2 linked regions of the Rattus norvegicus genome follow. The protein of the gene in region 1 interacts with the protein of each later gene in a pairwise test. Links are inferred from orthologs where the notes say so. Each region holds a gene or a part of one and is shown in the gene's direction. Other genes may lie near its edges.

Evidence for each region. The genes of interacting proteins can lie anywhere in the genome.
Region 2: the proteins of Cdc42 (region 1) and Plekhg4 interact in a two-hybrid assay, tested with the Homo sapiens proteins (2 studies listed by BioGRID and IntAct, with this or other methods). The link is inferred for Rattus norvegicus from reciprocal best matches to the Homo sapiens genes CDC42 and PLEKHG4.

Annotation. Positions count from the first base shown.
Region 1 is NC_086023.1:154,873,712-154,877,880, reverse strand, and holds the start of Cdc42 (cell division control protein 42 homolog), read left to right. Parts: upstream 1-1,369; 5' UTR 1,370-1,389; intron 1,390-1,395; exon of another isoform or gene 1,396-1,507; intron 1,508-2,183; exon of another isoform or gene 2,184-2,321; intron 2,322-3,059; exon of another isoform or gene 3,060-4,169. UniProt on the Homo sapiens protein: Plasma membrane-associated small GTPase which cycles between an active GTP-bound and an inactive GDP-bound state. In active state binds to a variety of effector proteins to regulate cellular responses. Involved in epithelial cell polarization processes.
Region 2 is NC_086037.1:50,163,974-50,169,366, forward strand, and holds part of Plekhg4 (puratrophin-1), read left to right. Parts: intron 1-14; coding exon 15-113; intron 114-201; coding exon 202-350; intron 351-504; coding exon 505-643; intron 644-731; coding exon 732-848; intron 849-1,241; coding exon 1,242-1,424; intron 1,425-1,659; coding exon 1,660-2,162; intron 2,163-2,230; coding exon 2,231-2,477; intron 2,478-3,083; coding exon 3,084-3,173; intron 3,174-3,276; coding exon 3,277-3,498; intron 3,499-3,583; coding exon 3,584-3,754; intron 3,755-3,833; coding exon 3,834-4,011; intron 4,012-4,382; coding exon 4,383-4,499; intron 4,500-4,608; coding exon 4,609-4,845; intron 4,846-4,928; coding exon 4,929-5,044; intron 5,045-5,230; coding exon of another isoform or gene 5,231-5,236; exon of another isoform or gene 5,237-5,393. UniProt on the Homo sapiens protein: Possible role in intracellular signaling and cytoskeleton dynamics at the Golgi.

The DNA of each region.
Region 1 (4,169 bases):
TTATAGCTGTTCACCCCAGAGCTGGGTTTATTAAAGTGGTACCAAGCAGCAAACACAGGGCTTCGTGTTTGCACTACTCCTTGGCATCTGCATCAGTTCCTGCCTCCAGGCAAGCTAGCCCTCTATGGACTGGGCTCCATCTCCAGTCCTCAAATGAACATTCTTCCGATGAGGTTTCCTCTAATGTTGGGAGGCATCTAACAAGTAGGATAGGATCTCTATTCTCCAGAAGCTTGAAGCTTGTACACCACCAGAGAAGACAGCCATTAAACAGGCGCTGAGATGATAGGAAAAAGGATTCGAGAGGTTTAGATCCCACCAAAGGGGTCAGGGGAGAGCACTCAGGCAGAGTAAACGCAGGGCTTTTTGAGGGGAAAGTCTGTAGTTCTAAACAAAACCCAGAGTGATGTCCAGCTCTCACTTCAAAACAGATTGTTCAGAGGCCTGTGGCCTTCAGAAAGCTGTGCACAGCAAGTCACTTCTCAGAGAAGCAAAAGAGGCAAGGCGTGGAGGTGCGTGCCTGCAATCTCAGTACTTCGGAGGTAGAGGCAAGAGGATCGGCAGTTCGGGGCTGGGGATTTAGCTCAGTGGTAGAGCGCTTACCTAGGAAGCGCAAGGCCCTGGGTTCGGTCCCCAGCTCCGGAAAAAAAGAACCAAAAAAAAAAAAAAAAAAAAGAGGATCGGCAGTTCAAGATCAACCTGTTACCCAGTTGTGTTCAAAGCCAGCTGGGCTAAATGAGACCCTGTCTCAAGTTGCTCAATAAAGATAGTCTGGGTATGGTGATGCACACCTTTAATCCTAGCACTCACGAAGCAGACGCAAGGGGATCTCTGAGTTCCAGGCTAGCCTGGGCTCGAAAAACAAAACAAAAAGAAAAAGAGACAGCTTGAGCGTTGTGGTACATTTCTTGGGATTATCAGAACTCAGGGAGCAGAGGTAGTAGGATCGCTGTGTGTTCTGGGACAACCTGGTCTACATAGCCATTTCTAGGGCAGTAAAGGCTACATAATGACACCCTGTCTAAATAAAATAAACAAAAATATTTGTTTACAACAAATATATTTACAACATTTTCTCTACAAAGTTGCAAGAATAGAAGTAAACTTTAGTTACAAACTGTGCACATTTTCTGTTCATAGTTTTATTACGAATAAAATCACCGTTAAAAGGCGCAGAGAGCAAACCCGAACACGCAAAGAACGTAGCCCGCGCGTGCGCGCCAAGGGGCGGAGCCCGGGCCGCCTGAGCCCCTTCTTTCTCTTTGTCCCTCCCACTTCCGCGGGCACCCAACCATGCGTCCCCTGCGTGCTGACGTCAGGCGCGTGCCCCTGTCCGGCAGCCGAGGAGGCCCCGCGCAGTGCTGCCAACGCCCCGGCGGAGAAGCTGAGGTGAGTGCGGGGCCCGAGTAGCCTCCCTGCGGGAGCGTCTTCTGCGCCGCCCGGTCCCCTTCCCATGTCCCCCGTCCTCCCTCGGTTCTCGTGGACGCTCGCGGGCGGGGACATCCCGGTGCTTGCGGGCGGCGGGCCGCGAGGGAGGGATTGCCGGGTTCGCGTGCGCCCGCCGGCCCGGGTTCTGAGGGGAACGAGGCGGGGTCGCGGCCAGGTTTGGGGCCGGAATGGCGGCGAGGCGCGGCCCGGGATGGCGGCGGCTGAGGGCACAGCCCGGCCGAGCTGTCAGCGGCGGCGAGAGGACCGGGCACACCCATCCCACACGTTCCCCTCCCCCTCCGGCTGCCCGCGGGCTCTAGAGGCCCCGGGGCGCGGGGTGGGGGGACGTATGGTCAGGACCGGGGTCGGAGGCCGGGGGCTGTCTCTGCGCTGTGGGCCTCGACTTCCTGCTTCCCGGGCTCCGCCGCGGACGCGTTGCGGCTGGCGGGGGAGGGGAGCGGAACTGCGGCCGCAGGGCCGGGCCGGGGCCGAGGTGACGGACCGGGCGGCTCTGCGCCTGCGCCCCTCGGCGATCTCCTGTCCCGCGCCGCGTCCTCTCCTGCCCCGCGGCTCCGGGGGCTCTCCTGACGGGGCCAGCCTCTTTGCCTTCCGGGACCTGCCTAAGTACCTCCCGAAACCCCGCCTGGCCACTTACTCAGTTCCTCATTACTAGCAGGAAAATTTCTTTGTTGACTGCTACTATTATTATTATATATTTTTAAATTCCTCTTTCCACCCCTTTAACTCCGGGAGATATTCAGTGTGGAAGATTACGTCATCGCAGCATAAGGGGTGAAAGTTTTAACTCCTACAAGTCAGGGCTCACCAAATTAAGACAGCATCTTGTGGCCTTAGTGGGTCACTCCACCCAGCACATCAGTTCAGAGTAAGGTGTAAGGTGGCTTTTTTTTTTGTTTTTGTTTTTGTTTTTTGTTTTTTGTTTTTTGTTGAAATCCTGTTGTCTGTCTCCAGACTGCCTGAGATGCACCTGAAATACGGAAGGTTCAAAATCTTAGGTTTAGGGTATTTTTGGTCAGGGAATACACACTGTCTGCAGTCACTTGTGTAGGTATGAACTTCAAAGGGCCCCTTGGCTGTACTCGGGTGAATTTTAAGGAGCAGTTCTTTGCCACACTAGTTGTGACTTAGCTGATGTAAAGAACCCAAATTCAGTGCATGGTTTGAAGAGTGAGCTGAAAAGAGAATTTAGTTATACACCTGATTTGTCTTTGTTAGGATTGCAGCTTCAAAGTTGCATGCTTTAGTTTTACCATGAAGAATGGCTTTTGGATTTTTTATCTTGAGACAGGGTCTCCATAGGTAGTGGTGGTTAACCTTGAATTTAGAGGGACCTTCCCTCTAGTCTCTGCCTCTCAAGAGCTGGGATTACAGGCATGAGCTACTTAAATTGCTACCCTTGTTTTTAATTTTTTTTTTTTTTTTTTTTGGTTCTTTTTTTCGGAGCTGGGGACTGAACCCAGGGCCTTGCACTTCCTAGGTAAGCGCTCTACCACTGAGCTAAATCCCCAGCCCCTTGATTTTAATTTTTAACCCTAAAAACTTGAGTAATACTTTTAGATCACTAGAATTGTGTGTCCTTTGATTATAGTATACACTAGTGTTGAAGTATTCTTCAACATTGCAAAACAAATGAGATCCAGTGTGTAGCACATCCCTGTAAGGGTGGCTCGTATTTGAACAAGACTTTTCCCATTATTGCTCGTTTGTATAGAAAACAGTATTGTTTGTTAAACACTGGCGTGGTGGATTCAAATAGGCTTTCTGTAGTTTGTAGGTGTGGAGCTTGAATCGTCCCAAATAATTTGTTATGCTTCATGTGACATCTAGGAATATAAAATTGGAGAGTACTTATCTACTATTGTGTTTTTTAAAGCCTATATTTAAAAAGTTTACATGTGTACCAATTTGTATTTTTTTTCCCCTTTTTTTATTGAACTAGTCTGGGCTGGTGAGATGGTACAGTGGATAATAACACTTGTCAGACAGGCCCGACTGCCTTAGTTGGGTCCCCCAGAACCCAAGGTGGAAGGAGAGAATCTGCTCAGGAGGCAGAGGCAAACTCTCTGAGTGTGAGGCCAGACTCGTCTACACAGCCTGTCTTGAAAAAACAAAAACAAAATCTGTCTTCTGATCTTCACACTCTTGCCACATGCATGTGTACACATAAATGCACACAATAATAATAAAAATTAAAAACACAATTAGTTTGAATTTGTAAGTTTTAGACAAGGCAAGGACATAAGAGATTGGTAACTGAGTATTTGAAAGGAGTATTTTTTAAACAGTAATTTGTTCAAGACCCAAAATTGCCTTCTATTCTGTTAAACACTTGTTTAAATTCAAGATATTTTCATATTGAGACAGTACCTGTGCTTAGTAAACACATTCCCTGCACCAGTAATCCATGTAAGCCCATCAAGACTAAATCCCCAAGTTTACAAAGTTTACAAATCTTTACAAAAGATTTGTTTTCTTAGGAATATTTTTGCACTTGAAATGTTTTACAGATTGTTTTATTTCAGATTTTCACACATCTATGCAAAATATTTTATATTTTGACCATACTCATCCCTATTTCCCTCCTCTGCCCCTCAGCATGTCCACCTCCCAAGTCTTACTCTTTTTTATGACCCACTGAGTCTAATTTATGCTGCCCCACTCTTCATCTTAAGATCTATGAAACATTTCTAGTTATTTTTACTGCTAAATTTTTTTTGGTG
Region 2 (5,393 bases), on another chromosome or scaffold:
CTATCTGCTCACAGCGTCTGGAAACCCTACAGCAGAGTTGTCAGGTGGCTTGTGCCCTGCTTCAGGGCGTCATTGACAGTATGAAGGCTATGCGGCAGCCCTTGGAGTCTGGAGTGAGTGTCCCTGCCAAATCTCCTTGAGTGTCCCTTGACTTCCCTTTTCTCTCCCATGTCAACCAATGCCTGGTACTCTCAATTATAGGAAGTTGGTGAGCTGCTACAGCAGGCACAGTCCCTCATGCAGCAGGTATTAGAGTCACCACAGTTGTCATGGTTACAAAGTCAGGGAAGCCTGGAGCTCGCATGGTTGAAACAAGGGATGCCACAGGTGGCCCTGAGCCCCGATTACAGGTAACTACAAGCCCAGCTATCAGAACTTACCCCAGCTCAGCTGCCTGCATTTGTGTTAAGCACTCAACTGGCTAACTCAGCACATGCTAGATTTGAGTCCCAGAGTGCAGAAATGGGACTGTCGGAGCACAGGACAAGACTGTGCTTTTCACAGGTCTGCAGTAGACAAGGCTGATGAGTTGTATGGTCAAGTGGATGAACTGTTGCATCGGCTAACCCTGAAGAGCAACCAGCGAATCCGGGCCCTAGAGCTCCTCCAAGCACTGGAAGCCCAGGAGGGTGTGCTGTGCCAGGTAGAAGCTACTGCCTCCTGTCCTTGGTCTCAGCAGTCACTCCAACCATAGCAGCTGCCTTTGCATCCTTCTGCTTGTGTCCATCCAGATTGAAGTGTGGCTACAGGAGGTGGGCTGGCCAGGGCTGGAGGAACCAGGGGAGCCCTCACTGGACATGCTACTCCAGGCCCAGGGCCCTTTTCAAGAGCTGGACCTGGTTGCCCAGGTAGGTTTGGTTATTTACTTGTGCAGCGACTGGGCCAGGGGTCTAGGACTGTGGCTTGAGTGAAGGCAAACAATCTTCTCTCTCTTGGAGGTTACCTCAGCAGAGATCAGTTGTAATAAAGGGTTCATAGATGTCTTTGCACACACAGACAAGGACTCTGGAAAGAAGCAGCATGGAAGTATAATTTAGGGTCAATAAGGCAAAAAAGAATTAGGAAAACAGTATGTTCAGAACTTAATGTGGCAGAAAGTCAGGTGTGTGATGCATGCTGTTAGTCCCAGCACTCCAGAAGCAGAGGCAGGAGGATTGCTGTACCAGGACTACATGAGAGATGTATAGATGCCAGATCTGAGTCTGCGCTGATCACCAGCTGAGTCTAGTTTGTCTCTCCAGGAACAGGTCAAGCAAGGGGAGAAGTTACTGCAGCCATTAGTTGGCTGGGAGGCTGCTGAACTGGGGCCCACTGGAAAGCGCTTTCTGGCCCTGAGATCCCAGCTGATGGAATTTTCCAGAGCTTTGGCCCAGCGGCGCCAGCGGTTGGCAGATGCTGAGAAGCTGTTTCAGTTCTTTAAGCAGGTGGCTGAGGAGGTCCCTATCCTGGCTTTGCCCAAGCTCCACCCCTAACTCTGCTTGGCTTGCTCAAGTGTGATCTTGCTTTCAGTGTGATCCCAAGTTCAACTTCTGGGTTGTAGTCTGGGATCAATGTCCTCAGACCAGCCAGTGGGTGGGACAAGGGAGCATAACAGAAGGCACTTCAGGCTTGCTGGGGTCCTGCTTTTATGTCTGTGTGTGTGTGGCCTTGGTGTTGCAGGCCTCAACATGGACGGAGGAAGGGCAGCGGGTGCTGACAGAGCTGGAGCAGGAGACCCCGGAGGTTGTGCTGCAGCGACTGCAGCTGCACTGGAGCAAACACCCTGACTTGCCTCCTGCCCACTTCCGGAAAATGTGGGCTCTGGCTACAGGCCTAGGCTCAGAAGGCATTCGCCAGGAATGTCGCTGGGCCTGGGCACAGTGCCAGGACACCTGGCTGGCTCTGGATCAGAAGCGTGAGGCTGCACTAAAGCCACAATCAATGAATAGCACAGCTACTTTGTATGTCAGGCGGGCTCCTGCTATACCCACCATCCCTCCACTGAGGAAGTCCTACAGCTTTGATCAGAATCTGGGGAAGCATCTTGGAGATGCTTCCAATCGTGGCCACTGTGCAGCCACTGTTACTGACTGCCACAGACCTGAGGCCAGAGGAGGCATCCGGCCCAGGTCATCACCTTCTGTGCCTCTGTCAGGCAGTTCTGACTTCAGGAGCCCCAACAGGTATAGATGGAAGGCAGGGCAGGGAGGTCTGTGGATGGTCTTGGGTTCTGACTCCACCTACCTCATAGGCTACAGCTAGTATTGGCGGAGATGGTGGCCACAGAGCGTGAGTATGTCCGGGCCCTTGACTACACCATACAGAACTACTTCCCTGAGTTAGATCGGTCCGATGTGCCCCAGGGCCTCCGTGGCCAGCGTGCACACCTCTTTGGCAACCTTGAAAAGCTTCGGGATTTCCACTTCCATTTCTTCCTGCGTGAGCTAGAGGCTTGCACCCGGCACCCACCTCGAGTGGCTCATGCCTTCCTGCGCCACGTAAGTTCCATAGGCCAGACAAGCCCTAGAGATTTGGACACCTACTTAGTGTCAGGCTCCGTGCACAGAGTGCTGTGTCACACTGAGTGCTGTGGGGGCAAGCAAACCACTACTAGGTACAGCTGTGAATGAGACCCACAGAAATGTCTACCTCTTAGTGGATTTTACGTTCTGTAGGATAGATGTACAAATAAAAGAGATCATTCTAGATTACACTTAGGATGGAATTAAACAGGAATATTTTCTGTGAATTACATTTGGGGCTGGGTTCCCAGTTTAAAAGTGGGGATGTTTGAGTAGAGGCCAAAGGACGAGTAGAGAGTGAGTTGTGCCCCCAGAAGAGGCTTCATGGACATCATGAGAATGGCCAGGTATAGTGAACACTAAGTCGAGGTCCCAGAACCCTGGGAGGGGCAGAGCTGAATGTGGAGGCTGGCTGTGCAGCCTGACAACTCTGACACAGCATTGCTTCGTGCTGGCTCATCCTCATTCAAAGTGGGATCTGCAGGAGTAGGGCAGATCAGCATTGGCATCTTAAGCTAAGAGGTGGGGGTTTTTCTGGAAATCAGTCTCCTGGCACCTGGGCTGAGTTGTGTATCCTTCCAGAGGGTGCAGTTTGGAATGTATGCACTCTACAGCAAGAATAAACCTCGGTCTGATGCCCTGATGAGCAACTATGGCCACACCTTCTTCAAGGTAGGAGCCTGAGACTGTAGGAAGAGTGAGGCTTGGTGGGCATCCCCCAAAACCACTTTTTTCCCTCCCCCCAAAACCACTTTTATCTCCTCACTGATCGCAGGAGAAGCAGCAGGCACTGGGAGACCACCTGGACTTGGCTTCCTACCTGCTAAAGCCCATCCAGCGCATGAGCAAGTATGCCTTACTGCTGCAGGAGCTGGCGAGGGCCTGTGGGGGTCCAGCACAAGAGCTGGGTGCCCTTCAGGCAGCCCAGAGCCTTGTGCATTTCCAGCTGAGACATGGCAATGACCTGCTAGCCATGGATGCCATTCAGGGCTGTGACGTGAGTCACCTGGGCCATGTGGGGAAGCACCGTGGATTTAGAAGGGCGTGGGACAGCTGGCCATCTAAGGGCTTCAACTTTGCAGGTTAACCTCAAGGAGCAGGGGCAGTTGGTACGACAGGATGAGTTCACAGTGCGGGCTGGGCACCACAAGTCCTGTCGTCGCGTTTTCCTGTTTGAGGAGCTGCTGCTCTTCAGCAAACCTCGACGTGGGCCTGCAGGTGTTGACATATTCACCTACAAGCGTTCCTTCAAAGTAAGTCTCCATGACTCTGACCTCTGCCTCCAGCCCCACCCCCCATGCCTCACCACACTCCTTTCTACTGGCCATGTAGATGGCAGACCTCGGCCTCACGGAGTGCTGTGGGGAAAGTAAACTGCGCTTCGAGATCTGGTTCCGACGTCGCAAGGCCAGGGACCTGTTTGTGCTTCAGGCTTCCGATGTGGCCACCAAACAAGCCTGGACAGCTGATATCTCCCGTCTCCTCTGGAGGCAGGCTGTACACAACAAGGGTGAGTCCTTATACAAAGCCCCAAAATACATGTCTTCCCAGGAGCCTGAGAAGGGTTTAAGGGCCTCACATACTCCCTAGAGTGCATCCTGCCAGAGACTGGGTTGGATTAGCTTGGGAAGAATGGAGGTGCAGCAGCAGAAGACAGTGCAGGGGAAGAACATAACTTTTCCTCTCAATACCAGAGCTCTTATGCCCTAAAAGGGACATCGTGATACCTTTCTGTGGGGTACTTAGAGGGAGAGGATTCTGGCACCAGAAAGGATCACAGTATAGAGTGGTTAATTTCTGGGTTATGTGTATATAGGAAAAACTCATTAGGTACATACATCTCAGGGAGCCTCACTTATGCCTTATTTTTTATTTACTCAGAGGTGCGCATGGCTGAGATGGCATCCATGGGTGTGGGGAACAAAGCCTTCTGGGACATTGCCCCCAGTGAGGAGGCTATCAATGACCGCAACATCAACTATGTGCTGAAAAGACGAGGTAGTAGGCATCCTACAGAGGGTGGGAGTGAGGAGGCAACAGTCTGGCCTGTGCTCCCTGGCTGCCTCAGGCCAGACTGGGCTCTGATCTGTCCCTCTTTCTTATACAGATGTTCGCTCTAGGGCCTCCATTGCTGTGGCCCCATTTGACTATGACAACCCTTATCTGGGTGCCTTGGCCTCCCTACCTGGAGACCGTGCCTCTTGCTCTGTTCTGGGGTCTCTCAATCTGCACCTGTACAGAGATCCAGCTCTTCTGGGTGTTCACTGGTCCTTGCTTCCACCCAACTTCCCAGAAGAAGCATCACTAGATACTGAGGTGGACTTGGGCAGCCAGCCTTCTTTGAGTATGTGTGGGCTTACTCAGGCGGGAGGCATGGCTTAGGTCTGGGTCTCCCCTGCTAACAGTTCACCCACTTTCCCTCCTTAGCTCCTGAGGACTCAGAGGTCTCATCCCAGTGCCCATCAGCCAGTGGCTCTAGTGGTTCTGACAGCAGCTGTGTGTCGGGGCAGACCATGGGCAGAGGCCTTGAAGACTTGTCCTGTGTGAGTACCATCTTTTGCCTTATGCCCACCAGCCCTTCCCTAACCTACCCTGGGCTATAGCTGCTTTTTCTTTAGGGGAGTTGGAAATGGGTGGGTTGGAGCTGTTCCCTAGAGGATTCCATGTCCACCCCTAGAACCAGAAAGGAGGGAGGTAAAACATTGACTTTGCTTGACTTGGCACCCTAGGTTTGAGTCTGGCTTGAAGATGAACATCACTCAGTAACTCCATGGAATTCCACACCTCTGAGTCTGCCCTAACCAGAGCATGGCTGGCTCCTGGGCCATCTCATCCCCCACCACTCATACCTAATAGGAATATCCTTGTTGATTACCTTTCTGATGTCTGTAG